4 linked regions of the Astyanax mexicanus genome follow. The protein of the gene in region 1 purifies or fractionates together with the protein of each later gene. This does not show direct contact. Links are inferred from orthologs where the notes say so. Each region holds a gene or a part of one and is shown in the gene's direction. Other genes may lie near its edges. The genes, in order: cd2bp2, sart1, dhx38 and usp39.

What was found.
Region 2: the proteins of cd2bp2 (region 1) and sart1 purify together in Homo sapiens (affinity purification with mass spectrometry; 4 studies listed by BioGRID and IntAct, with this or other methods). This does not show direct contact. The link is inferred for Astyanax mexicanus from reciprocal best matches to the Homo sapiens genes CD2BP2 and SART1.
Region 3: the proteins of cd2bp2 (region 1) and dhx38 purify together in Homo sapiens (affinity purification with mass spectrometry; 3 studies listed by BioGRID and IntAct, counting the BioPlex papers as one, with this or other methods). This does not show direct contact. The link is inferred for Astyanax mexicanus from reciprocal best matches to the Homo sapiens genes CD2BP2 and DHX38.
Region 4: the proteins of cd2bp2 (region 1) and usp39 purify together in Homo sapiens (affinity purification with mass spectrometry; 5 studies listed by BioGRID and IntAct, with this or other methods). This does not show direct contact. The link is inferred for Astyanax mexicanus from reciprocal best matches to the Homo sapiens genes CD2BP2 and USP39.

Annotation. Positions count from the first base shown.
Region 1 is NC_064426.1:15,181,060-15,188,407, forward strand, and holds the start of cd2bp2 (CD2 antigen cytoplasmic tail-binding protein 2), read left to right. Parts: upstream 1-4,347; 5' UTR 4,348-4,429; intron 4,430-5,552; 5' UTR 5,553-5,553; coding exon 5,554-5,628; intron 5,629-6,829; coding exon 6,830-6,962; intron 6,963-7,348. UniProt on the Homo sapiens protein: Involved in pre-mRNA splicing as component of the U5 snRNP complex that is involved in spliceosome assembly.
Region 2 is NC_064424.1:16,324,914-16,332,895, forward strand, and holds the start of sart1 (U4/U6.U5 tri-snRNP-associated protein 1), read left to right. Parts: upstream 1-4,967; 5' UTR 4,968-5,445; coding exon 5,446-5,716; intron 5,717-6,706; coding exon 6,707-6,761; intron 6,762-6,857; coding exon 6,858-6,913; intron 6,914-6,998; coding exon 6,999-7,125; intron 7,126-7,248; coding exon 7,249-7,354; intron 7,355-7,534; coding exon 7,535-7,612; intron 7,613-7,716; coding exon 7,717-7,816; intron 7,817-7,896; coding exon 7,897-7,982. UniProt on the Homo sapiens protein: Plays a role in mRNA splicing as a component of the U4/U6-U5 tri-snRNP, one of the building blocks of the spliceosome. May also bind to DNA.
Region 3 is NC_064423.1:36,778,265-36,785,281, forward strand, and holds the start of dhx38 (pre-mRNA-splicing factor ATP-dependent RNA helicase PRP16), read left to right. Parts: upstream 1-4,000; 5' UTR 4,001-4,081; exon of another isoform or gene 4,082-4,168; intron 4,169-5,632; 5' UTR 5,633-5,693; intron 5,694-7,017. UniProt on the Homo sapiens protein: Probable ATP-binding RNA helicase. Involved in pre-mRNA splicing as component of the spliceosome.
Region 4 is NC_064429.1:1,324,910-1,332,720, forward strand, and holds the start of usp39 (U4/U6.U5 tri-snRNP-associated protein 2), read left to right. Parts: upstream 1-4,790; 5' UTR 4,791-4,900; coding exon 4,901-4,949; intron 4,950-5,503; coding exon 5,504-5,567; intron 5,568-5,670; coding exon 5,671-5,765; intron 5,766-6,087; coding exon 6,088-6,224; intron 6,225-7,097; coding exon 7,098-7,250; intron 7,251-7,811. Other genes in the region: c22h2orf68 (UPF0561 protein C2orf68 homolog), read right to left, coding at 1,477-1,592, 3,560-3,669.

The DNA of each region.
Region 1 (7,348 bases):
ACGCATGAGGATAAGAAAAGGAATGGCACCATGAGAAAGCTCCGCCTCCTAAAAGTGATGGCAGACTTTTCACTGAGGGAGAAAGAGAGAAAGATGAAAACCCTGAAGAGGAATGGAGAGCGGCGACAGAAAGAACCCATTTCCGTCTTCTCTCCCCCTCTCCACTCCTCTGTTCCCCATGTATTTTGTGCTGTCCTCACCTGGGCTTCGCTTTGCTCTGTCACCAACTCTTCTGTAACCAATAAAAAGAGAGAATCTGTGAATAAAGCAATCTTATCTTTCGTACCTCTGCGTCTGTCCATACTGGCTAATTTACAGGGAGTAGCGGCTGAGGTCTGTTGATTAGGTATGAAGTATTGGGTGAGGAGATCTGAAGAACAACTGCAGTATCTCCATCCACGTTTATAGACATTTCCAGACTTTACAAATCCAAAAATGCCAGCTCAAGCTGGTCAAGCTGATTGACCAATTTAGTTCTTGACCAGCACAGAGTATTTTTTTGTTTGGGTTTGATGGTTTAGCTGGTTAATGGCCAATAACTTGACCAGTATGACTGAAGTTGATCAACCATCATGACAAGCAGAACCAAGCATGACCATAATTGAATGCATCATTCACTATGCCACTCACAAGCTGGTTAATTTAGGGTATGTTTCCCCTGGAGGAACAGCTTTCAAACACCATCTCAGACCATCTGAAACCAGCTACCAGCAAATGCAGGTCTGCATTTGTAGCATGGTGTTTCTGGGAGAGGTGCAGCGAAAGTACAATAAACCTGGTGAAACAGAAACAAAGTGAGAACATACCACCCTGAAACAAGCTGAGCAAGGATTCCGGAAACACTTCTTTTATTTACAATAAAACTCTGGTCATTTGGAGTAACAGATCAGACCATTAACTTTAGTCAATTGTAACAAAAGTAACACATTGCAACAGACTGCAAAATAAAGTCAGTGGATATTATATAGAAATATTTCCAGCAACAGCTAAAATTCATGCATTTCCACAGAATTAATTTTGCAACATGTTGCATGACTTCATTTTAAGATGGCAACGCCCAGAAAACTACATCACTGTACTGTGTGTACAAACAGTGTTTTTTTTTATTAAACAATCAGTGCCCTTTTTTTGAAGTCTCAATGCTTACTTTTAAATAACAGGGCCATCAGAATTTTATTAATCAAGTTTTGAGCTAATTTGAGCTTGTTAATGGTGCAAAAATAGCGATTTCTTTATCTGGCCAACACTGTTACCCTATTGCTAACATTGTAAGCCTAAAAGTGCTGTATTTCGAAATGCTGGAGAGAATGGAGGTGGAATATTCAACAAAAAAGTTTGTACTTGTTATCATGTTTCATTACACCCCTAGTCAATTTTACACCAGATTTCTCCTTTAAGTCTGAGACATATAAGTCAAGCCCCTTTGAATACAATTTGTCACAAGATCTTAGTAGTGAGGGTGTGGCCCACAGAGCTCAGAGACTTTGCTTGTCAAATTGGCAGTAATCACAGTTTTTACATTTTATGGCAGATCCATAGAGTCATATCAGAGAATTTCAGAGCGCAAAATACCCACTGTAACAGGTTTGTTTGACTCCCAAGTGAAAAAGTTATGTGTTCATACAGACCGCATATAAGTCTATGGTCCATCGCAGCTCAAAAAAATGGTTATAGTTAATGTTCTTAGAACGTTCAATCTGTCAAGTTTTCAGAATGTTCTTAGAACATTTTTTTTTATTTAAATGTTCTGGTAACATCGCTGCAAACTTGTGTCAGCATTTTTAGTTTTAGGAATGTTTCTTTAAATTTTTCCATATTGTTAGTAGTTTCTCTAGCCACACCCAGGCTTGATTACCACCATACTCACCATTCTCAATTAAGAAATCACTTAAATAGAACCTGTCTGACAAAGTGAAGTAGACCAAAATATACTCAAAAGCTACACATCATGCCGTGATCCAAATAAATTCAGGAACAATTGAGAAAGTAATTGAGATCTATCAGTCTGTAAAAGTTCATAAAGCCATTTTCAAAGTTTTGGGACTCCAGTGAACCACAGTGGGAACCGTTATCCACAAATGGCAAAAACGTGGAACAGTGGTGAACCTTTCCACAAGTGCCAGCCAGCCAAAATTACTGCAAGAGTGCAGCGACAACTCATGCAAGAGGTCACATAAAGACCCCACAACAACATCCAAAGAACTGCAGACCTTATCTAAATATTATTTATTCTAGTTGTATTCTATTTTTCACATTTTATTAAGAATAAAGTAAGTTACAGAGACTCCTCCTAAACTCTTAATATGAGTAATAATGAGTTAAATGAAAAAAAAAAAGAATTATAGCTAAAAGAAACAGTGAAATATTAGGAAAAAAATGCCAGTTAGTAATGCCATTAGTGTGATTTTTATTTCAAAATAAAAGATGTAACTATGCAGCATATCTATGCAGTAACACCAGACTGAGACTGCCCCTGGAACTGCAAGTGTCTTTTAATTTTGTATTACTTATTTGGCATTTGTATTTTAATATCATAAACCATAATCACTGTAGAATATTGCAGTTTTATTTGTAGAGAAACGTGTTATTTACCTCAGAATATGACACTCAGCCTTCTCACATCACTGTCTGTGGGAGAGAGCACTGCTGTGGAGGAGAATATTATATAATTGATTAAATGTGTGGCTCAATAAGTGGTTATTCTTAAAATAACGTTTTAATTATGTTAAAATATAAATAGCTTTTCTACAGAAGCACTTACTGTTTCTACATCAAATAACACCGTGTATAATTTATACAAACTGACCTCTAGACTTCGCGATTTTAAAAGTGATCTGAGGTAAAATGCTTCCGCCCAGTGGTGGCTGGCGTGTACTGCAGCTTTGTGAAATAGCTCCAGTCCATTAGACCACTGCAGTCCTGTGTCATTCTGTACTGTAATCCTCGTATGCCCAGATTCGGGGTTCTGTGTCTAAAGGGTTTTTGCCTATGAGAAATAAGAATGAGCTTTTCAAAAACTCCTCTCTATCAAATTCTGTAGTAAATAATTGAATTTTTAATATAATAGACAAAAAAATCACTCCTGTTAATGGCACTCATTCCTGTTACTGGAACTCGCTCCTGTTACTTTCATTCCTGTCACTCAAAACATAAAAAGTAACAGGAATGAAAGTAAAAGGACTGAGTTTTTGGCATAGAATTAGCAAAAACATGAAAAATAGCTAAATGGCGGCTATGCTAATAGCATTTGGACACTAAGCACATTCTAGTGATTTTCCCAAAATATAAAATTTAAAATATAATTCATGTCATGTTGTAAATTCTGGAATGCAACATAACGAAACTGGAATGAAGCAAAACATTCAACATTCAAAACAAATGGATGAAGCAGGATTTAACCTGATTAAACACAATGTACTGACAGTCTTGTCTGTCTGTTCTGTGGAACAACAAGATGATCTATCAATAAATAACTGAGTAAACAGTAAAATAATAAAGGTGAAAAAATGTCCAATTTCTTGCAGTAAGGCTCTCTTAAACAGTAGTGTATGTTGTACTGCTAAAACTGATTTACGATTCACAGGAAAAAGTGCAGAATTTTTAAATAATTTTTCAATCTGACACCAAAACATTAGCATTGAGTAAACCCTTACAGAGTAAACTGAAAGATCTAATCATTTAGACTGTCTTGTTTGTAATCAATGACTAAAGAAATGTTCATTCTGTCTCTAACATGCTCACTGATATAAATACTTACCTCTGGGTCATGAACTGAGTGAAATTAAATCATTAGCTGCTTATCTATTATGTGTGACTGTTTGTACAAACTGTTTTGAGAAATGGCCACACTGTGGTGCAAATATTAATTCTGAAGAACTGCATCAAAAAGCTGTAAACTGTAATCTAAACCCTATACAGCTCTGGAAAAAAAATAAGAGACCACCTAATGATGATGTTTTTCTTTGATTTTACCAAATTGAAAACCTCTGGAATATAATCAAGAGGAAGATGGATGATCACAAGCCATCAAAACAAGCTGAACTGCTTGAATTTTTGCACCAGGAGTGACATAAAGTTATCCAAAAGCAGTGTTTAAGACTGGTGAAGAAGAACATGACATGATGCACGAAAAATGTGATTTTCTGCGAAGAAAAAATGCTCAAAATGACAATATTTTCATTTGGAATTTGGGAGAAATGTTGTCCGTGGTTTATAAAATTAAACCACAATGTTCATTTTACTCAAATCTATATACCTAGCAAAATCATAGAAACTGATTCAGAAGTTTCAGAGCTGTATAACAGTGTAAGTGGTGGTTGCGCGGTGTCTCCAGCAGGCGGCGCTGTGATAAACGGCTCTCAGCTGAAGGAGGCGGTGTTTCCGTCCTGCAGTTGAATGGCGCAGAGGGAAAATCAGCCACAGCATAAAGGTAAACAGCTCGATTTCTCCACTATAAACATCAGATTTACCCTCCGCTTTAACAAACGAGGGACCTGCACACTGCTGAAATGTGTTTACTGTCCGCAGACCACAACTTCTAAATTGTGACTTCTAAAAAGTCTAAATATCCTCTAATCCTGCAAACACAGGCCACTCAGTGACTGTAGCTTAGCATAGGCTGCTAATCACTCACACACTTACCTACACTCTCATTACTGATCTTATTAATATCAGCACTGAAAACAATGACGTTACTGCAAACTGTTACAGCGTACAGAGAGAGTGTCTACCTGTAACAATACAGCTAGATATATAATCCATATATCTAATAAACCCAATACATATAAAGTTAGTTGATTGTGACAATGTCTTTCTGTAATAAACTCATTAAAACATTAGAATAAACCCAAATAAACATAAAGCAAGTGAACAGTAAGAGAGTCTACATGTAAAACTCTGTATAATATTAGAATACTAAACCCAAATAAACATAAAGTCAGTGAGTGTGTCTACCTGTAAAACTCTATATAACATAAGAATAAACCCAAATAAACAAAGGCAGTGGTCATTATAAGTTTCTATCTATAATTATCTATATATAACATTAGAATATACCTAAATAAACAGTCAGTATTTAGTGAGTGTCTACCTGTAAATAAAATTATATAACATTAAAAAAACTCAAATAAACATAAAGTCAGTGGTCAGTGAGAGTGTCTACCTGTAAATAAAACTATATAACAATAGAATAAACTCAGATAAACATAAAGTCTGTGAACAGTGACCTGTAATTAACTCTATATATAGTATTAGAGTAAACTCAATAAACATAGTCAGTGTTCATTAGAATATCTACCTGTAATTAAATCTATATAGTATTAGAGTCAACCTAAGAAACATAAAGTCAGTGATCAGACACTGTATGGACTTGTATGGAGTTTCTCCAGCAACTCATCTGATTTACTTTAATGAAGGACTAGTTAGATAAACAAGGGGTTGGATAGAAACTGGGAATACAGCAATCTTTGTATTGATTATTAATGTATTTTGTCTAATGTTACTGTATTATGTGTATAACATACTCTTGAAATCTCTCTTAAACTTTATTCCAGAATGTCAAAAAGAAAAGTCACATTTGAGGATGGAGATGGAGAGTTCAGTTTGGATGATGAAGTTCCAAAGAAGAAGGTATGTTTATACTTGTCCATCAATCCTGTATGAAATGGCAACAGTTCGACAAGTAAATCAGACGAATCATCTAAGCAAATCATCACCCTCTTTAAGTTGTATATTGAGGTCTGTTTGTAGTTGCTGATCGTCTTTTGCCATCTGTATGCATTTATTTATGGGATAAAGAATGGTTGGGATAGACTTGTGTAAAAAGAAGGCAGGGCTAAATGTTGTAGGCTTAGTAGGCAGATACACAGTATATGTGAATACAGTGAAGGAAATAATTATTTGATCAATTGCTGATTTCGTAAGTTCGTAAGCCCACTGATAAATACATGAACGGTCTATAATTTTAACAGTAAAAGATAGAATATAAATAAAAAATAAAATCCAGAAATCACATTATACAAATGTATTTGCATTTTGCAGAGAGAAATAAGTATTTGATCCCTCTGGCAAACAAGACTTAATACTTGGTGGCAAAACACTTGTTGGCAAGCACAGCAGTCAGACATTTTTTGTAGTTATTGATGAAGTTTGCACACATGTCAGGAGGAATTTTAGTCCCGTCCTCTTTGCGGATCATCTCTAAATTATTAAGATTTTGATGCTGTTGCTTGGCAAATTGGAGCTTCAGCTCCCTCCATAAGTTTTCTTTGGAATTGGCTAGGGCACTCCATGACCTTGTTGCCTTGGCTGTATGTTTTGGGTCATTGTTGGGCTGCAAGACCCAGCCATGGCCTATGAATCATCCACAGGTGCCTTCTTGACCAGTGGGACTTTTCGGGCACTGCAACATTACAGCATAATGTTTTACCAATGGTATTGTTGGTGACTGTGATCCCTGCTGCCTTGAAATCATTAACAAGTTCCCCCGTGTAGTTTTAGGCTGATTTTTCACCATCCTCCTGAATACCACACAAGGTGAGATTTTGCTTGGAGCCCCGAACAATGTCGATTGACTATTGCACCAATAGCTGTCTCGTTCTCACCCATCATCTTACTTAAGGTATTGTAGCTCATTCCAGCCATGTGCAGGGCTATGATCTTGTCCCTGACATCCTTAGGAAGCTCTTTGGTCTTGCTCATGTTGTAGAGGTTAGAATCTGACTGATTTATTGAGTGTGTGGACAGTAGTAGTCTGTAGGGGTAGAAGTCACATTTAACAGCCACAAAGTGTACATATAATCTAATTGATACTCTGTCTGTTTTTGTGCAGATGTATGATGAGGTGAGTGGTCCAGGCTCCAGGTTCAAGGAGAAACACTCTCTGGACAGTGATGAGGAAGACGAGGGTGATGAGGCAGAAAATGGCGACAAATATAATATTCTCGCCAGTGATGATGTTGAAGGTAGGTGTTGTGCCTGTCAGGGTGTGTCCACTCTCTCTCTTAATATGTTCTCTTTTTCACGTGTGTTTACTGGTGTGTCAGTGTGGGAAGTGAGCTGAGGACATACTGTCATAATTCTATTCAGACACTTGTTGGGTGTTGTACAGATTCTAATTACTTCCTCTACTACTACTAACTGTAATAATAAAAAAGTAACTTTATAATGGGAGATCAATAATTCTCTTGATTCTAAGTGCATATATGAATCATATCTTAACTGCAATGCTTAAAATATAGAAGAAGCAATAAATTAGGAGGTGTTTTGATACTTGTGTTCATGTAGTGTATAATCTTATGCTCTATTGACTACCCCAAGTTGTGAACAGACAAAGACGTTCCAGAAGTGC
Region 2 (7,982 bases), on another chromosome or scaffold:
TTTACATTACTTTAAAAATAAAGGCTTTGTTCAGACTGTAGGAAATTTGGATTTGTTTCCCAAATCAAATCAGTTGGGATGACTGTTATTTGCAAGTGATCAGATCAGATTTGCATGTCCTGACGCACAGATGTATCGTTTAATAAAAACATTCTAAGAACTTCCAGAAAGCTTGCCAGATATATAAAAAACACAGAGAGTGTAATTGCAGAGGTGTTGCAAACATTTTGCTACAGTGGTTGCTATATGGTTGCTAAGATGTAGCTATATTTCATGCTAGTGTTAAAGTCTGAAAAACATTTGGATAAATGGTGTAATACAAATATATCTAACAGGTAGAGCTGTGTTCACAAGCTTTTGGTCTGATTGGAGTCTGGTGACATTTGGCTAAATGGTGGAATGCAAACCTTGACATGAAAGGGACCTTAAATCAATACTTACTCAAGTTAGTAAAAACTGTCAACTATCAAAATAAATTAGGGTAATTTATAAGCATTCAGATCTGATCCAATTCACACACACTTATTTATAAAGGGTTAATGTAGTAGCAGGTTTTCATTCTACACAACAATTAGCTCACCTAAATCCACTTGTTTTAATTAAGTCTTCAGTCATTCAAAAACTGATTACACATGCTTCTGCTTTACTGAAATGAAACCCTGCATCCATATGGACCTTTTGCAGAAAAGATTGGCCACTCCTGTTTTTCTTCTGAATGTGTAGACCATGCAGCTTGTAATTAGCTAATCACTGAAAGCAATGCATTGCATGAAGATACCTAAAACCTTTGGTCTGTTATCTAGTAATCACTTTTGTTTAATTGTTTTCTGTTGCTTATATTTATTGAGAAATTTAGTTTTAAAAAGTTCTGGAATAATGCCATGTACTAAATAAATAAAATAAATGTTTTTGTAAATGCTCTGTGTCTTGTATAAATTGTTTCTTTTGTTTATGCAAACTAGCACGTTTTTAATAGTAAGATCAACATTTGCTTAGTTGGGGAACATGACATGAAATTAATTTAGTCAGACCATCACATCAGCACAATTGCAATTTGCTTTCCTTGGCGAGTCACCGACCGATGCAACAATCCCAGGAACTTTAACTATTAATGCTAAATGTTGGTACAGGACAATAATGTCTCCCACATATTTTTCAAAGAGTCATCATGGTTATTTACTGTTATTATTATTATTGTAATATGGAGTGATCTGGAAAAAAGAGTTTAGTCTGCTGTTTTGATTGTTTTGCTGTTGTCGTCTATAAAGCAGAACTGGTTGTTTGACCACTGATTGGCCACTGATTGGCCAAGACTTTATCTGTAGAAACTGTCTATTTTTTTTGTATCCCTATGCTGGTTCAAAAGACCTGGACCAAACCATTTGATGGGGACAGGAACACTCATAACAATTTTTCATACACTTGTATATATTTAAATTTAAAATGTAGACAGAACAAAGAAAAAAATAAAACAGAATACACTGAAATTGCAAATTTAAGTATATAATGTTAAATTACTTTGTGCCTCCCTCTAACCTGGACCAACCCATTTGGTCCACAATGGGCATGCTCCAATTTATCCAGGGACTATAAAGTCAGCTGATAACTTGAAAACTCATTTGTTTCTGTAGCTGAAATGCTGGCGCTGGAGTACATATGTATGGAGTAGGTAAATGAAGTGAAAATATTAATTTGACAAACCAACCTTGGGTGGAGAAGAGTAGACTTGCATTTAAGTTAGCCTGTAACTGTGAGAGAGGTTAGCATCTAGCTTTAGCTTAGCAGCTAAAGCACATTCAAATAAATAATACAAACACTGGTTAAACAATTCCTTGTTAAAGCTGAATTATAGTTAAGCTTTTTCTCATGAGTTTAAATACATTCTACAAAGTGTCTTCTTTAAAATGACTTATATTTTTAAAGTACATAAACCTGCTGTTTGATATATTTTACAACTAACTGAACATATTTTGCAGCTAAGACCTTTCAGTGGATGTCTGTTCTTTGGAAAGTGTTTTCAAGGTTTCTTTGTGTTGGGAATCATTTTCAGTTTCAATTGTAACTCACTATCCAGAGGCTGGGTTGGTTTCTTGGGTTGATTTGTGATCCTTAATCCTAACAGCATGACTTTAAACAGTGTATTTTTTTTATCTTTCTTTAAAATTAATTAAATTAAGTTTATGCCTTAAAACAGTAAAATGAATCTTTAGGAAAGTTTTTCTGCCTAATTTTTCCCATGCACTCAGTCAGCTCCACAAGACCCAGAATTATTTCCATTATTGTTTGCTCATGTAGTTTGCTCTCCGGAAGCACCACTGTCGGAATTACTGAGATCCTACCACAACCTACAAAACCTTTAGCCAAACCACACCTTGGCGATTTCATTCACCCAATGAAGATGCCTGCAGCTGTTTGCCTCTAATCTAGTAATCACTTTGGTTTTATGTTAAATGATTGAATGTATTAAAGACAATAAAAACTAAGTTTGATGTGTCTTGTATAACTTTTTCTTATGCTTACTGTTCACTGTTTAAGTTCACTGTTGGGAAAACTGTTTAAGAATTGATTGAACCCTTCTATATATTAAAAAAGAGGTATGTATATACAGGAAATAAGAACCACTGGTCAATGTACTGTTGAATAAGCTGCAAAATGTAAATAAAATGGTGTATAACAGTTATCTTTGGAAGAATAATTTAAGTTGCTATGTGTAGTTAGTGAAAACACACTGAGCAATATAAAGCTCAAACACAAGGCTGTTTGTCCTCCTGCTCTGTAGAGAAAAGTGCAGATTTTGCCACTGCAGTATCAGTCTATTCTACAAGTTAGGGAAGGCAATTTACTGCACTAATTTTTTTTAGTTTTGAGGCCAACTCAAAGAAAAGACACAGTTGTGCCAACTAAAAATCATTAGTTCAGATAATTGATTTTTATATGCATAAAGCTTTAGAAATTAAGTCTCACCAACTTATAAATTCACTTTGTATCCTTTCCTTTAAGATCCTGTTTCACATAAATCAAACTCATATAAAGAGCACAACATAAGTTAGCAACTAAGAATGTATGACTGTTATGTCTTATTATCAGTCATATTAAAATTGCAAAACACAGTGGCTTGCTCTTATAGACTTTAACGCTAAGGCCAGGCAGTTAACTATTATGTAACACATGCGAATCCCAAGAGAAGGCAGCCTGTGAAGAATGACTACTCACCGATAGTGAGTGAGAGGTAAAAGAACACACCCAATATGCAAATAGCTTGACCAGCATCAGATTAAAAACCCCTGCATAATAAATAGTTTAAACCGAGGCTTCTGCTAAGCATCTTTCATTAAATGAGTTGTCTACCACTTTGTTTGATTAAAATGCTGACACTAATTCTGGTTGTCACATTGTGTCCTACATCATATTATCCCATAAGGGCGTTTTAATACCCAGTAGATACATTTCATATTGTTCCCCCAAAAAATAGGCCAGTACATCACAGGTACTAAATGTGAATCTACAAACATTGATCAAGGTTTAAACTCAGATCATTCCCTGTGGTGATTTACCAATGACCCTGGAATTTTTGTATGGGACGTTGGCTCATTATGACTCGAGTAAAAGTGCCTTTCAAAAAAAAACTCTCTAGGAGCATGGACTCTTTATGTACAATATTTTTTCCATTGCTAATGCATTCGTCTCCAACATCAGAATTGATTTATTTGTGCACATCAATTTTACATTGATTTAACGTTAATTCAAAATTATGGTTTTAGATGTATGTTTTTATTAAACTTAAATTAAAGATGTACATTAGACTCAAGAAGTGTATATGTGTTACATACAGAGTGATCCTTTTTAAGTGTTGATTTCTTTTATTGTTAATTTGAAATCGGTGTCTCAGAAAACTAGAATAGTATATTAGACCAATTAGTACTTTTGGCAGTGTGGCAGTGTGCCACTCTGCTGGAAAATGAAATCTGCATCAGGAAAGAATGAAGTGCTATAAGATTTTCTGGGGAAAAAACTGCACTGATTTTTGGACTATATAATACAGTGGACCAACACAAGCAGATGACATGGCTGTCAAAAAAGCAACTTTTCAATTTCAACTTTTCATTTTTAAGATGCACTAGTATTTATAGTTTTTGGATTCTGTTATTGTAGACTGTACTGTGGTCTTTCAGTGTATAAAGTGACATAATACTAATAATTAGTAATATTAAAATTATGATTTGTGGGAATTTGTTAAATGTTAAATAAGGGTTGTTTAAAGATTGTTTTTCTATCATTACTTTAACAGAAGTAATGCAACCAAAATCTTTTTAAAAAATTAACGTTTGGAACCCCAAATCCAGAAGCTCACAATGCTTTTAGATTTATACACCAACCACTGCCTAAGAAAGTCTAGAAGGATCACGAAGGACCCCTCCCACCCATTCTCACAGCTTCTTCCCCCAGGCGACCAGGCTGTGGAACAGTGTTTTGCCCAACTTGCCACTGCCATCTTATACAAACTTTTTGACCCTGAACTTTACTTCACTTTACATCACATTGCATCTTTCTAACTTTCCCATACTTATCCTATTATACAGCATTCTCCACCCTGTACTTCCCAATCAACTCATTCTGTACCTGCACTTTAGTCATAATTACTCTGTCACATACTATCTCTGCACTTTCACATACACACTCAGATATCAGCACATGTATATATCAGTGTATACTTGTATATCCATTCATATTAACGTATATCTACACTGCAAATAAATACTTAGTAAATATTTCAAGTAAATCTTGTTCTTTACATGCTAATAGGAACCTGCACACAAGTTTTTTTTACTCACCTGTATTCTGTGACGTGACAATAAATACTGTATTTTGAATCTTGAATCTTGAATCAGGGATCCTTCAGGGCACAGAGCTGGAATATAGAGCCTCCTCGCCTGCAGGCGGCAGTGAGCGTTAGGTTTGACTCGGAAGAAGTTTGGGACGGTTTATCAGAACGCCTGCAGAACGATTGGATGGTGGCTGGTGTTTATTTGGGCCTCGCTGGTTTAGTGAGCGCTCCTTTTCGCGTGTTTACAGGACTTTAGGTGTTTAAAGAGTGTGATAAATATGTTGTACAGGCGGTAGAGTATAGCTAGCCGCTCTGTTTATGTTCTATTTAGCGTTAATATACACAAACCGTGCTGGGAGGGAGTGTATCTATGTTAGCTAGGTTAGCTTGCTAGCTAGCGTTAGCTATGTTGTTAGCAGGCTAGCTAGCTAAGCGTGTTATTTTTGGTGTCGTTTTAATACTTTCTAACCCAAGTCTAACTAGTACCTGTTAGTTATTTGCGTTGTTTGCTTTAGTGTCGGGTCTTTAAACAGGTTTGTTTACGCATAGGTTAGCTAATTAACACAGTTAGATAACCTAGCTAATTAGGTTATCTAGCTAACTAACTAATACTCTCAGATATGGGCTCATCTAAGAAACACAAGGAGAAGGATAAGGAGCGGGACGCAGAGGACCGACACCGAGAACACAAGAAACACAGACATAAGGACAGAGAACGGGACAAGGAGAGAGATGGAACTCGAGAAAAGGAGGAGAAGAAAAGGAAAAGGTCCCGCTCCAGAGAGAGAAGCAGCCGGGGAGAGAAGGAGAGCCGCAGTAAAGGAGAGAAGAGCAGTGGAGAGACTCGTGTAAAGAAGGAGAAACTTGATCCAGCTTTTGAAGAGGCTGAAGGTGAGCTGGTGACCTGTTTACTGCCACTGACTGTTGGTTAGTGTTAGAAGAATTTAGATTTCTGTCCAATATTGGCCAAAATCCAAAAATCAACAACTTATCAAACAGTAATCAAGAAATTGGCATTACCATTGATTGATTTAAAGTTTCACACACTTTTTAGGACAGGTCAGCACTGCCAGAAGGCTCATCCAGTACATGTTTTTTATGTAGGGGTTGTTCTTGGTAATGTGACATTTAATTAAAAAATACTCAATATACTAGTTCATAAAAATAAATATTTAGTCTTATTAGTCCTAATTGAGATTTTCACCAGATTTGAACAGAAATCAATGATCCAACATGATACTATTAATACTAGTAATGCACCCCATATATCCAGGACTGGAGTAAAAAAAAATGCTGGACAGATACATATAATCTGTCTCTATTAAATATTTAATAGGAAATGAGAACAGTGGGAATTTTCCTTTTGCTACAAACAGCAAAACAATTGCCCCTGATGGCCCTAAAATAAAATCCCAATATTTCTAGTTTTTTTTGTGATTAAAATGTTTTAAAAAGACAGTTGAGCGCAGAGAAGGCAATGGCATTTCTGGACATGGTTAACATAGGATTTTATTTTCTACACTAACGTTTTAGGTGCCATTGTAAATGCAATTCTGCAATGTAGTGTGGTTAAAGTGATTCCTTACCCCTGTGGTTCTGGGCTTTCACTTCTGTCTGTTAGGCCAGGTAATTCTTGATGATTAAAAGACTAACTTTTCATGGATCCTTTGTTGGAAATGAATCGTTACAGTGACTTGTGAGCATCACCAGTTTATATGTTTGTAGTCCAGCATTACTGTTTTGTAAGTTAGTAAGTGTTTTAAACAAAGTTTCATTAAAATGTGATTTTGTTAATACATTAAAATATGTGTAGTGATGCACCCATTTTTTATAGTGCCTGTACCTGATTTAAACTTTTTTTTTTTGTCTGTTCCTTTGCAGATATGGCTCCAAAGTCTGCGGGTGGAGATGCTTCACTCAGCATTGAAGAGACCAAGTATGCTAATAAAGTGCTTTGCAGACTGTCTATCAAGGTTTTGCATCAGAATTGATTTTGGAACTTATCCAACCAATTCTTGTTTTCCCTTTTCAGTAAATTGAGGGCCAAACTTGGTCTGAAGCCTCTTGAGCTAAATGAGAATAAAAAAGGTGAGAAATCGGTGTCTAACAGGACTTATGCTACCAAATATTCTTTCTCTTCTTTTTTTCTCATGTTAAATATTTCTGATTGCAGAACTGGGCACAAAAGAAGAGCCCCTGCTAGCTGAGACTATCAACCCTGTACAGATCAAACAGCAGGCAGAGATTAGGGAGAAACTGGCTGCACTCAAACAGAAGCGTCTGCTTAATCAGAAACTTGGGTACAATCCTCATTATGCTTTTTCATTTATACACCATAGGACTGTACTTCTATAGAGTTTTTGTCTCTTGAAGCCTTGTGTATCATTACTCAAATTGACCTTAATCATTGTCTCCCATTTTAGCAAGGTTAAGACACTTGGAGAGGATGAACCTTGGTTGGATGATACTGCTGCCTGGGTGGAAAGAAGTCGCAAACAGGCTAAGGAAAAGGAGTTGGCAGAAAAGAGAGTAAGTAGTAGACAGGGTTCTACAGCTTCTGCAGAATCGTTTCATTCGTGTCTTCTTTGTTGAGGCAAACGCACAGCAAAAAATGTACTGGTGATATACACGTTGTGGTTTTTATTGTAATATTATGTCTTTGTTTAATATATTTTTGTTTTTATTGTAATGAGCATATGATTTTCATAGGCCAAACTTCTTGAAGAAATGGATGAAGAGTTTGGTGTGAGTAACCTTGTGGAACAGGAGTTCGCTCAGACTAAGAAGGTAGACTTCATACACTTTCCGCAGTGGTTAATCATATATCAAACAGAAACTTTAAATGTTATATAATACATTTTCTGATTACTAAAAGTCTTTTTTTTTTGTAGGACGCTTACAGTTCTAGAGACCTTAAAGGTCTCTCAGTACAGCACAAAATGGAATCCTTTAAAGAGGGGGAGACTGTAATTTTGACACTGCAAGACAAAGGTTTGTGCTCTGTTGGCTTTTCAGCAATGCATCTGCTTTACCTGCACCTGTGGCTTGCTCACTGTATGTTCTTGTTGCAGGTGTTTTGGATGAAAATGAAGATGTGCTGGTGAATGTGGGTCTGGTGGACAAAGAGAAAGCTGAGAAGAATGTGGAGCTTAAGAAA
Region 3 (7,017 bases), on another chromosome or scaffold:
TTGTGGTTTTGTGTGTTTAATACTTGAACTGGTGAGCAGTCCACAAAGTCTATATTTCATATATACGTATATATATTTCATACGCAGATTATTCTATGCATTCTACAGTACGTTTTTTTTTTCTTCATCTCGTCGTTGCCGCCGACAGTTGTAGCGTGTGCTGTTTCACGTGTTCGATGCCTCAGAAGAGTTTGGTCCGTGAGCTGCCTTCCCCTGCAGTAGTGACATTGTTCTATATGTATGCAGATCTGTTCTTTGTTTTGTCTCTTAATGATTATATGTCTTTTCATATGCATATTCACTGTATTCTTTTTTTCTTTTCAGCCCATGCAGCTTTTTTTTTTCTTACTTTCAGTGCTTTTTACACAATCGGGTGGTTGAATGTTTTGTTAAATATGCTCTGATTTCATGTAATTGCACCCTGTATACACTCATTAACCAAAAATATTATAATAATGCACCAAGAATACAGTATATAAGTGATTACAATTTTACACCTGGTTTTAGACCACAATAATTGATTGTGGTGACGGACAGTTCTGGTGGAAACAGGAGAGTTGAGGTGCACATTGGATCCTTCCGTGATTTGATCAGCCGTGGTTTTCTGTTTTTTGGATACAATCTGGGTTAGCACCCGAACATCCCTTTCAGACAGCTTCCTCTTACAGCGTCCACAGTTAATCCTGTTGGATGTGGTTGATCCTTCTTGGTGGTATGCTGACATTACCCTGGATACCGTGGCTCTTGATGCATCACAAAGTCTTGCTGTCTTGGTCACAGATGCGGCAGCAAGACGTGCACCAACAATTTGTCCTCTTTTGAACTCTGGTATGTCTCCCATAATGTTGTGTGCATTCCAATATATTGAGCAGAACTGTGCTCTTACCCTGCTAATTGAACCTTCACACTCTTATTGCTCTTACTGCTGCAATGTGCAATTAATGAAGATTGGCCACCAGGCTGCTCCAATTTAGTCATGAAACCTCCCACACTAAAATGACTGGTGTTTCAACAGTTTCATAGTCCATCCTGGCATCCCAGCTGATCCAATAAATTCCTTATTGGTAATAAATTTTGCGTCCAGACAGGCCAAAGTTTGTGGGAACAAGCATTATCCTGCTAAAAAAAGCCCTGCATATTTTAATGAGCTGTTATTGTGCTTCTTATCACTACTACTGGTGAGCAGTGACATGCTGATGAACAGTCTGGATGGTGTGCATGCTGGTTCTTTCAGTCCAATGGTGCATACCCTCCTACAGTCTGTCAAATGTGCAAAATGTCTATAAGTACATTGTAGAGGTGTGTCTAGCTGTCTGATCTCTCACCTGGAGGTACACTACCCAAAAGAGTATAGTGCAAATGAGAGCCTTTTTATATAGAGCTCTGAAAAAAAAAGAAACCACTTCAGTTTCTGAATCAATTTCTCTGATTTTGCTATTTATAGGTTTATGTTTGAGTAAAATGAACATTGTCGTTTTATGCTATAAACTACAGACAACATTTCTCCCAAATTCCAAATAAAAATATTGTCATTTACAGCACTTATTGCAGAAAATCAGAAATGGCTCTAATAAAAAAAAATGAGGCAGAGCTTTCAGACCTCAAATAATGCAAAGTTTTAAGAGTTCAGAAATCAATATTAGGTGGAACTGTGTTTTCATGCATCGTGGCATCATGTTCTCCTCCACCAGTCTTACACACTGCTTTTAGATAACTTTATGCCTTTACGCCTGGTGCAAAAATTCAAGCAGTTCAGTTTGGTATGATGGCTTGTGATCATCCATCTTCCTCTTGATTATATTCCAGAGATTTTTCAATTTGGTAAAATCAAAGAAACTCATCATTTTTAAGTGGTATATATATATATATATATATATATATATATATATATATATATATATATACAAAGTAGCCTGAGTCTGTTTTGCAGGTCTGTATTATTTTTTGGTGAATGAGTGTATAATATATTATTGGCTGTAGGTTTTGAGCACAGTGTAATAATGAGTGTGATAAGAGCAAATTAAGATTCTGGTACTTTGTGATCTCCTCTCAGATTGTAGTCTCTGATCATCAGCTGAGTATTTAATAATAAATCATTCATAAATCATTCCGCCTCATTTTAAAGTGTAAATACGTGATTGCTCCTGTGTGCAGTTCCACCACAGCACTGCTTTGCTCTGTGTGAACATTGTGTACATCTTCCTGGCTGTCCGATATATTTTAAATTGTCTTGATTTGAGAGAAGCTGTACGTTTCTTTAAAATACAGCGGAAGAAAATGAACTCTGACTCTGTGTGTTTGGTCTAAATTTTGGATACATTATTGATGAAGCCTTCACAGACATGAAATTATATGCCTGATATATTTAATTAAATAATATTGTGATCAAAATGTTCTAAAGTGCCCTCTACAGTGTTAAAATGGAAAGATCTATTTATTTTTGTTTCTTAATAGGAACTTGCTCATTTTTTATGTAGATAAATAGATACATAGATACAATTTCCATTATGAAAATTGTTGAACATTTATAAATGATTAGATAAATAAATATGTAGATATATTTCATATTTCATGTAGATATATTTCATATAGTTCATTATTAAATTATTAAACATATATTTATAAACTCTGCTGAATGCTCTATAGGAACCAATTAATTTCATGTAGATAAATAGATATGGAGATATGTAGATACAATTTTTAGTATGAAAATTATTAAACATGTATAAACTCTGATTTTGCTCAAGTGCTTTATAAGAATCCATAATTTATGTAAAAAAATAGATACATTTATCAGTTGATTATTAAATTATTAAACATTTGTATTTCTTAAACTATGGTTTTGTTTTATTGAACCAACTCATTTTATCTAGATAAATAGATATGTAAATACATTTATCAGTTAATTATTTAATTATTAAAAATGTAATTTTACACACTCTGGTTTAGATCAGTTGCTCCGTAGGAAGCCATTAATTTCATCTAGATAAGTAGATACATTTTTGATATGAAAATTGTTAAATGTGTATAAACTGATTTAATTGAATAATCTGAGTTTCCCTGAATGCTTCATAAAAGCCCATTAATGTATGTAGATAATTAGATGAATTTACACATTTTTCACATTTAAAATTATTAAACTTTTTATAAACTTTAATTTTCTCATTTTTTATGAGAACAATGTAATATTATGTAGTTAATATATATATATATATATATATATATATATATATATATATATATATATATATATATATATACATATATATATATATATATATATATATATATGTATATATATATATATACATATATATATATATATATATATATATATATGTATATATATATGTATATATATATATATATATATATATATATATATATATGTAGATAAGTTGAAACATTTTAAATATACATGTTAATATGTTAAAGTACATGTTATAATGATTAAACATTTATAAACCTTTGATAAAACTTTGTGCTCAATTGTTTCCCAGCAGCCCATTCATTTTATGTAGATAAATAGATATGTAAATACATTTATTAGTTAACTATTAAATTATTAAACATTTCAATTCATACACTGATTTTGTTCAGTTGCTCCAAAGGAAGCCATTCATTTTATGTATATATGTGTATATATTTATCAGATAATTATTAAATTATTAAAGATTTATATTTATAAACTCTGGAATTGCTCGGTCGCTCCAAAAGAATCCATTCATTTTTTTAAAGATAAATAGATATGTAGATAAGTAGATACATTTTTCAGTATAAAAATGATTAAACATGTATATATAAAAAACATGATTTTGTTCGAATGCTTAATAAGAGCCCATTAATTCATGTAACTAGATACATAGATGTTGTGATACATTTATCAGTTAGTTATTAAATAATTAAATATTTATATTATTAAACTCAGATTTTGCTCAGCTCTATAGAGACCCATTCATTTTTTTGAACTGCTCTCGAGACTCTTATTGTGAAGTGTCGTGTTTTCCGCTTCTTGTATTATGGGATAGCGATGGCGGTCCGCTGTACGCAGGTTGGACGCGGTTAGCTTGGTGTTTTTAGGGTAAATATCTTCATTTAGTGTCTTATTTCTGATTTTACCCGCCGCGCTGAGACCTGCTGTATATCCCGGAGTGTATTAGTGTGAGAGGTGGGCGGATAAGGGCTTTCTTCGGGGTTTAATCCGCGGTTTTAGCCGCTGTGTGTGTGTTTGTTCTGTGTTTGTTAGCGTTAGCTGCTCCGCTCACTCAGCTGTAACGTTACTGAGTTCAGTAAAGTTACCTGATTACAGACTGAGATTCGCTCAATTAATTATTCTCTAATTATTCTAGTCTATTACAGCGTATCCGAGTTAGCAGATAATGGGGTTTAAATGTAGGAAAATAGCTGTAATATTACAGTGTTTTGTGGCTTTTGGCTCATGGTTCTGTTAGCTAACGGTAGCAAACATTCTCGTTAAATTAGTTTAACCTAACCTAGCTATTTAGGTTAGCTAACTAGACTAGATACATTTTATTTGTGTATTTAACCAGTAAATTAACACGGAAAAAGGAGGATATTATAAGTTAGTATAAGATAATTCAAATTAAATTAATATAACCTAACTAGCTAGGTTGGTTAGCTCGTTACCTCATTTCAAACAGACCTGATTTAAAACTGTTTTGGCTTTTTATAGTGAAAAACGTTTTATCTCCAAATAAATAATAAAGACCTTGGAACCACTAATTTACTGTTTAATTAAAAGACAAACATTTACAAATGTTGGGATTTATTTCTACTGTCTGTATAAAACATTACTAAAAGTATATTTTATATTAGTATTTATTTTTTTGCAGTAGTGTACACTTGAATAAAATAATTTGTTTGAGAGAATTCCAGTTAAATAATATAACCTGGCCAGCTAGGTTAGCTAGTTAGTTACCTTTCCAAACACATCTGATTTAAAACAGCCTTTTTTAGTTAAAGAAATAGTTTTAGTATGCTTTAATTGCCGTTAAAATATTATGGATTAACTAGCTAGGTTAGCTAGTTACCTCATCTTTTGTTGATGCATTACTCTAGTTTTGTTTCATTTTTAACTTTTATTAGACTTATTATTTTGTATAAAAAGAGTGTATAAAACATTGTATACTAAAAATATATATTATACATATTAAGATTCATTATGTTGCAGTAGCTAGTTACCTCATTTTAAACACACCTGATTTAAAACAGCTGTGGCTGAATCCTTTACATTTTTAAGTTATGTTTTCAAATGTATTTATGTATATTTAAGTAGTTAAAAGGACAGGATTTTAATGTGCAAGAGCAAACAAATTAACATACTAGGGTTAAAAAAGGGAAAAAAATGTTTTATTTCGAGTTATATATTTAAATATATAAATAAAATATATATTACATTGAATATATATTAAAACAGTATATATTTATGTCCACAGAAAAAGGCTGGGTCATTGGTGTTCTACTTTTCAGCATTAAGATTAGTATAAATTGAATTTGTAGTAAACCTGTTAGTAATGATGCACTCATGTCAGAATATTAGAACACAGCTTTTATTTGTTCATTAATTTGGTCATATTTTAATGAAGTTCTGACTTTGCTTTGTGTTTCTCAGACAGGCACTGAGATATTATGCAAGAGACCAATGGGTTCTTCACACCAGCTTTTTAAATAAGGTTAGTAACACCCCTCCGTCCCACACACCTCCTTCACCTCTTTTTTTTTTTTTTTCTTCTTCTCACTATTTCAAGTCCTTTTTCACACCGGGAAGTCTAGACCAGAGTTAGCACAAATCTTCATGTGAATGTTGTTAATACGGTGAGTTATCTTTACAGGTTGTGCTGAATTCTGACTCCCTATAGCAGCATGGATGATTATGAATAAATCAAAAATCATGAAGTGAAGAGGGACTAAGTTGGCATCAAAGCAAACAGTGCTACTTTGAATCACCTAAAGTATAAAACATATTTAGGCTTGTTTAAGTTCTTCAAGTTTTTCATAATCGCATATAGGCCTGGCACAATAACTTTTTTTGTGAACATTATGTTGTCAGAAATGATTGTGAAAAACGATAGTAATGATAACATAATATCATAAAAGAATTGCACCCTTTTAAAGACGTTAAACTTTCCATTCCTGTTCACACGCCTAATTTTGGAACCCGAAAAGTTCCCAGCCTGAACCAAAGTAGCTTATAGTAGGTTCTTCAACATATATATACATATACACATTGTGAAATGTGGAGGCAGGGGAGCTGTGGGTTGACGTGCAGCCCCGGTCTGCCCCAGCTGGCCCACGTTGGACCAACATAAAGAGACACTAAAGTTAAGCGACTAGAGCCGTACTGGGTGTTTCTATGTTTCATTAAGTTTGTTTTGGGTGTTGATGGAGGACATTTTTCCTAATAAAGGTACAATTTGAGTTCATTCACTCCCTGTGTCTGTGTCTCTCTGTGCTTCCGCATTACCAGGTCACACTCACAGTCACAATATATGTAAGTGCAAACACAATGGACGATATCACGATTATTAAAATGATTGAGGTCACGTCCATTTATTGAACGATAAGTCGATTGAGTAATTATTGTGACGGGCCTAATTGCATATGCATTCCTTTATAGTTTTGATGTATTCATCATTAATCTACAATGTAGAAAATATTAATAATAAAATAATTAAAAAAACATTAAATGAGTGCTAAATAGACTGGTACTTTGTGTTCTTTCTGTGTACCAAGTGCGGTCATGCCCCAAAGCTTTTCACTCACCTTTACATCCTTACTTAGAAGATATGAAAGTAAACTTGATTTGATTTGACTCTGGCCCTACTATATTTTTCTTATATGATTTTATGATACCTATTTTTGTTTAGACAATATATTGTCCCAGAAATAATTGTGATAATATTATTGTTGTTATTTGATGAAGTTAATCTAATAGTATAACACAATTCCACACAAACCTTTTTATCCCCTTTACCAGGCCTTGGTCTGTATGTGGAC
Region 4 (7,811 bases), on another chromosome or scaffold:
AATCGGATTCAGGTCTGGGGAACGGGCGGGCCAGTCCATAGCTTCAATGCCTTCATCTTGCAGGAACTGCTGACACACTCCAGCCACATGAGGTCTAGCATTGTCCTGCATTAGGAGGAACCCAGGGCCAACCGCACCAGCATACGGTCTCACAGGGGGTCTGAGGATCTCATCTCGGTACCTAATGGCAGTCAGGCTACCTCTGGTGAGCACATGGAGGGCTGTGCGGCCCTCCAAAGAAATGCCACCCCACACCATTACTGACCCACTGCCAAACCGGTCATGCTGAAGGATGTTGCAGGCAGCAGACCGCTCTCCATGGCGTCTCCAGACTCTGTCACGTCTGTCATGTGCTCAGTGTGAACCTGCTTTCATCTGTGAAGAGCACAAGGCGCCAGTGGCGAATTTGCCAATCCTGGTGTTCTCTGGCAAATGCCAAGCGTCCTGTGTTGGGCTGTGAGCACAACCCCCATCTGTGGATGTCGGGCCCTCATACCATCCTCATGGAGTCGGTTTCTAACCGTTTGTGCAGACACATGCACATTTGTGGCCTGCTGGAGGTCATTTTGCAGGGCTCTGGCAGTGCTCCTCCTGTTCCTTCTTGCACAAAGGCGGAGGTAGCGGTCCTGCTGCTGGGTTGTTGCCCTCCTACGGCCTCCTCCACGTCTCCTGGTGTACTGGCCTGTCCCCTGGTAGCGCCTCCAGCCTCTGGACACTACGCTGACAGAAACAGCAAACCTTCTTGCCACAGCTCGCATTGATGTGCCATCCTGGATGAGCTGCACTACCTGAGCCACTTGTGTGGGTTGTAGAGTCCGTCTCATGCTACCACGAGTGTGAAAGCACCACCAACATTCAAAACTGACCAAAACATCAGCCAGACAGCATAGGTTCTGAGAAGTGGTCTGTGGTCCCCACCTGCAGAACCACTCCTTTATTGAGTATGTCTTGCTAATTGCCAATAATTTCCACCTGTTGTCTATTCCATTTGCACAACAGCAGGTGAAATTGATTGTCAATCAGTGTTGCTTCCTAAGTGGACAGTTTAATTTCACAGAAGTTTGATTTACTTGGAGTTATATTGTGTTTGAGTGTTCCCTTTATTTTTTTGAGCAGTGTATAACAAAAATAAAAATCTGCAGCAAAATGAACGTGCAGAATATTAAGTGCATACTATTATATATCAATATTATATATATTTTTAATATATGCAAACATAAACAAATAAAACAAATAAAAGTAAATACTCTAATTAAGAAGCAGTGTTCACAGTTCTGTTTAATAACCTCTTTTTCTGTTTCAGATAAATCCAGTTTCCAGTTTTATAAGACACACTTAATAATAAATCTGATAATAAATAATTATCAGATACCGGAATTTTCATGACAAACCGCACACGCTCCTAACAATGTATCTGAACCAAAATAAAAAGAGAGAAATGATGCATCAGTAAACGCTTAGGGGTTGAGCTCTTACTCCGGAGGCGGGGGTGGTAGACCTCTCGGTCGGGTCTCCGGGGGCGACGCGGGGCGGTGGTGTGTCTGCGCTTCTGTTGCTCTTTAGCCTGTTTCACCTCCTTATCATAATCATCCCTTTAAAAACACACAAACATTACAACCTGTAAGTGAGGCAGTGTTGAGGTGAGGCAGTGTTAGTGAGTCAGTGTTAGTGAGTCAGTGTTAGTGAGTCAGTGTTACAGTGAGGCAGTCTTAGGGTGAGGCAGTCTTAGGGTGAGGCAGTGTTAGGGTGAGGCAGTGTTAGGGTGAGGCAGTGTTAGGGTGAGGCAGTGTAGGGTGAGGCAGTGTAGGGTGAGGCAGTGTAGGGTGAGGCAGTGTAGGGTGAGGCAATTGTTGGGGTGAGGCAATTGTTGGGGTGAGGCAATTGTTGGGGTGAGGCAATTGTTGGGGTGAGGCAATTGTTGGGGTGAGGCAATTGTTGGGTGAGTCATTGTTAGGGTGAGGCAGTGTTAGTGAGTCATTGTTAGTGTGAGGCAGTGTTGGGGTGAGGCAGTGAAGGGTGAAGCAGTGAAGGGTGAAGCAGTGTTGGGTGAAGCAGTGTTGGGTGAAGCAGTGTTGGGTGAGGCAGTGTTGGGTGAGGCAGTGTTGGGTGAGGCAGTGTAGGGTGAGGCAGTGTAGGGTGAGGCAGTGTAGGGTGAGTCATTGTTAGGGTGAGGCAGTGTTAGGGTGAGGCAGTGTTAGGGTGAGGCAGTGTTAGGGTGAGGCAGTGTTAGGGTGAGGCAGTGTTAGGGTGAGGCATTGTTAGGGTGAGGCATTGTTAGGGTGAGGCAGCGTTGGGTGAGGCAGCGTTGGGTGAGGCAGCGTTGGGTGAGTCATTGTTAGGGTGAGGCAGTGTTGGGTGAGGCAGTGTAGGGTGAGGCAGCGTTGGGTGAGGCAGCGTTGGGTGAGGCAGCGTTGGGTGAGTCATTGTTAGGGTGAGGCAGTGTTGGGGTGAGGCAGTGTAGGGTGAGGCAGTGTAGGGTGAGGCAGTGTAGGGTGAGGCAGTGTTGGGGTGAGGCAGTGTAGGGTGAGGCAGTGTTGGGGTGAGGCAGTGTTTGGGTGAGGCAGTGTAGGGTGAGGCAGTGTAGGGTGAGGCAGTGTTGGGTGAGGCAGTGTTGGGTGAGGCAGTGTTGGGGTGAGGCAGTGTTGGGGTGAGGCAGTGTTGGGGTGAGGCAGTGTTGGGGTGAGGCAGTGTAGGGTGAGGCAGTGTAGGGTGAGGCAGTGTAGGGTGAGGCAGTGTAGGGTGAGTCATTGTTAGGGTGAGGCAGTGTAGGGTGAGGCAGTGTAGGGTGAGGCAGTGTTGGGTGAGGCAGTGTAGGGTGAGGCAGTGTAGGGTGAGGCAGTGTTGGGGTGAGGCAGTGTTGGGGTGAGGCAGTGTTAGTATCAGCAGCTGTTTAAAGCTCTCAGTACAGGATCCTACGGTGGCCGAGAAAGCCCAGCGCAGTGCAAATTGAAAAGCGCTGCAAAAGCACAAAACACATCAATCAAAATTACAACACAGGCGCAGCAAATAGAAAAACGCGCTGCAAATAGAACCACAACACAACGGAAGTGAGTCACAACACAACGGAATTTTCCCGGGAGACCTTAAAAGATGCTGTACCAGCTGTATACAAAGGACAGTAAGTGGCAAACAAGCTTCTGAAAAGTAAGTTATGTTTATTACCTGTGATTACCACGGTTGTGTGCATATTATTAAAAGTTCTGCTTCACAAAACGCCTTGTTTGCCACTTATTGTCCTTTGTACACATAGTGAAGTCCGAGACGTTACTGAAGACGCAGCTTAGCTGGTACAGTATCTTTTAAGGTCCCCCGGGAAAATTCCGTTGTGTTGTGACTCACTTCCGTTGTGTTGTGGTTCTATTTGCAGCGCGTTTTTCTAGTTGCAGCGCGTGTTTCTAGTTGCTGCGCCTGTGTTGTAATTTTGATGGATGTGTTTTGTGCTTTTGCAGCGCTTTTCAAGTTGCACTGCGTTGGGCTTTCTCGGCCACCGTAAGGATCAGTAGCGGCGGCTCGCTGCGCTGCGCTAGCGGACTGTTAGCCTGGCAGCTCCGACTCTTACCTCGCGATCTGATTCCTCCGGATGTGATGCAGGAACCCGTGGCTCATGTCTAAGCGGCCCCCGGGTTTATATTTGAGAGCTTCCCCCTCAGCATCCTGCAGAACCTCCATAATTTAAAGATTAAGCGGAGAACACGCGCGCATTCCCCCCACACACAGACCTCTCACTGCCTGCATCCTCTTCTTCCTGTAGCGCTGAGGCGGACTGAGCTCTGTTCAGCGCTGCTGCCGCCTACTGTTCAACAGCCCCCCCCCCCCCCCCCGCATACTCAGCGCCCTCTAACTATATCTATATATATATATCTATATATATATATATATATATATATATATATATATATATATATATATATATATATATATATATATATATATATGAATTATTCATTATATATAAATTATTAAAACAATGTTATATTAAACAAACACTATAGTATAGTAACCTGAGGGCTAGATTGCGCAGGTGGTGCGCATTAGTCTTAGTCTTTTTCTGCTATAAGGCTGATAACAAAACTCATTTACTAAATAATAACAGTGAAGGAGGCGTCTTACCCTCTGCGTTCATTTTTTATCTCGCCTAATCTGAAAACAATGTGAATGAACCTTCCAGATCTCGAATCATATAAATAGACACTTTAGGACTTGTGGAAAGAATTACCTCAAAAGACTAATTTATCATTTTTAGAACAGTAGAACAGCAACAACATAACAGCAGCACAGTGTGAGCAACAGGTCAAGAGAAACACAAGCGTTTGAACATTACAAAGAATAAGTTAAGGGGTGCATAAAGGATGCAAAAAAGTATGTGGGTGATGGTTTTAACATTTAAAATGAACATTGGAATGCAATCCAATGGTTCAGTTTAAAATGTGAAACTCATATATTATATAGATGTATTACACATCCATAAGTGTTTATTATTATTTTTTTTATTGTTGATGATTATGGCTTACTGCCAATGAAACACCCAAAATCAGTGTTTCATAAAATTTAATATTACATAAAACCAATTGGTACTATATGACAATATTGCTTTTAAGAAAATATTTATAGTATTCACATGGGAGAAAAGTTATGTTATTTTTGAATAAAAGGCTGTGCGGTAAAAGATACGTATTTGTATATATTGGATTTTGCTGCCCACTTTTTAAATAAATCAGTTTTAACTGTATCAGAATCAGGATTATTTTTACAGTGCTGATCGGTGGGTTGTTTCCGGTGGGGTGTGAGAGTAGTTCCGGCGGGGCGCGCGGGGGCTGCTGGGAGTTTGTGTTTAGTTTGAGCAGTCCGTGCTCTGACCCCTCATAGGATTTAAACTCCGCGGGCTTAATTAAACAGCGCTATGGCTGGAGTGAAGCGGGAGCGGGATGCTGAGGATGAGGAGGAGGAAGGTAAAGTAGAGGAACCTCTAAAGGCAGAACCGCTTTACTTTACAAACAGTAGCAGCAGAACACACCGCCTAGCTGAGCTAACCGCTAACCGGCAGGCTAACCAGCAGTGCACGCGCCTCCTGCACACCTTCTGAGCGGCTTTAATCTAATTCAGTTTTTTTATTAAAACCAACATCAGTGAGACTGATATTACAGGATTTTCCTTTTACTGTTAAATCCAGAATTACAGATAATCCACCAACATCTTCATTTAGCTATAAAGCTAGTTCTCTAGCTAACATAGCTAATTAGCTAGCTAACTAGTTGGTCACCAAAGCATGTAAACAAGTGGCTGTTACTTTTCTACTGATCCTAAACTAAAGCATGTAACCTAGGTTAGCTAGCGTTAGTCAACTAACTAACTAGCCTTTCACCAGCATATGTGTGTAAAACATCTGAATATCTGAAGCTTTGCTGGGGACATGGTGGGGGTGGTGGTGGACATTGTGGTGGGGTGGTGGTGTTTGTGGGAGTAATTTTTTTTCATAAGAATTTTATCAATGCCTGATTTTCAGAGGTCCGGGGGAAAGTTCCAGACAGAAGGAGCCGCCACTGTCCATACCTTGACACAATCAACAGGTTGGGATAGAGGATGTATTAATTGGCATAAATTGTGTTAATTTCTATATGAAGTAAAAGGAGGGTACGGTTCTAAGCAATTTCGTTTTTCTTTATTATTTAGGAGCGTTTTGGATTTTGACTTCGAAAAGCTGTGCTCAATCTCTCTCTCTCACATAAATGTTTATGCCTGTCTGATCTGTGGAAAGTATTTCCAAGGTAAGTCATTTTTTTTTTGAGACAATGAAGTTTTTGTTATGGAGCGTAAAATACAGAACGTTTTGTTGTTAATCTTTGTAAATTTAGTGTGAAATGAGTGTTTGGCCCATTTCAGTTTTAATTCTTCATCTTGCCATGTCTGAGGTGGATGGTTTGGCTGCTGGTTTATAGAAAAGCCTACAAGGCACAGTGGTCAAAACAGCAGCATCTAACTCTTTAACGCAAGTGTCAATTAAAGCCACTTGCAGTGGTCCAAAACTCGGATCATTAGATGTAAAATAGTGTGTGTGTGTGTGTGTGTGTGTGTGTGTGTGTGTTATAGGGAGGGGCCTGAAGTCCCATGCATACACCCACAGTGTTCAGTTCACACATCATGTCTTTCTAAATCTGCATACACTGAAGTTCTACTGTCTACCAGACAATTACGAGATCATTGATTCATCGCTGGAGGACATCACAGTGAGTTGAGATTAAGGGTGCTTTCACATCTACCTTGTTTGGTTCTGAACATTGGACTATTCAGTTTGGACAGAAGCAAAATAGCAGATGCTTCAAAGCCTACTCCAACAGACCAGTATTTGCTTTGACAAAAAGAGGTTTGGATCAACTAAACATAAACCTGAATCTGGTTCAGGCAGCAACAGAAGAAGGAAAAAAACACCTGAAATCTGACTCCCCTTCACGTGTGGGTGCGTCATACAGCAGTATGGGCACAAGAGTTTATGCTGGTGATTCCTGTATCTGTAGACTAACCTTTATTTATAGACAGAAATAAAAGGAAGCTGAAGGAAATCTGTGATAATTTTGCTGTGTGACACACCTTCATGTGAAAGAGTCAAATTGATTATTTCTCTTTTTGATATCACACTGACACACTCTAGCAAGCCTTACCACCTAATTACTTCTTTAAAAAAAAAAACCTACATATATTAACCATTAACAATCTGGAAATCCGAGATATACATATATAGTTCGATACATTAATCTGTTGCAAGGTTGCAAAAAAGTAGTAAATTATTTTTCTTTATTTAATTTTTTAAAGCTGTCTTCAAAAGAGGAGTCCCATTAACTAAAATTCTAGTTCATGTGACTCCTCTTTTGAAGACAGCTTTAAAATATTAAATAAAGAAAAATAATTACTGATTTTGTCAATTGTAAGAAATGTAAGCTTAAAGATGGAATTATGCTTAATGACCATGTTAGCGTAGAGGGCGTGTATCGCATACCTGTACTGTGGCTTTTTTGGCATAATTTTCTCAGTAATTGTTATTTTTGTTTAGTTTATTTCTGTATATTTCTATCAGAATATTAATGAAGTGTTTCTGTCTTCAGTATGTTCTGAAGCCAACGTTTACCAAACAGCACATCTCCAGTTTGGACAAGCAGGGCAAACTGTACAGGGCTTACGATGGCACAACTTACCTGCCTGGCATTGTGGGACTCAACAACATCAAGGCTAATGACTACGCCAACGTAGTTCTACAGGTATTACCTTCCAATATTCAGTCTTGTTAGCACATCTGAGATGAAGGGTGCCGATCGTTCATTAACATAAATGTTTATTTATTATAATGAAGGTCAAATGTTCAGGTAGTTTTTACTATCAAACACTACTGTAATGTACTGTAGAAGATACCACATGTCTTGGCCCAGTAATGATCAGTTACTTTGCTAGATGTGATTTGAGTACAGTGTCCTCTGGAAGCATTGACAAATGAAGGACAGGAAGGACTTGTTTGTTTACACTGAAAACATTTAGATTTGAGCCTTTTTTGCTTGCATTGCAGTATATTGATTGTCTGAAATATCTATTGCAATGTTACGAAATACATAAATACATTCTATTTCATCAGAAGAAAATTCATTCAACTTTTGTCATATTACTATTGCACATAGATATGTTTATGCAATAAGTTATGTTTTGCACATAAAATCTGCCTCTGGTAGGCACGCCATGGAACGTTAGGTCAGTGCACATTTTCCTTTGTATCAAACTGACAGACACTCACAGTTTCAGACAGTTTCACTAGACTCCTAAAATCATTC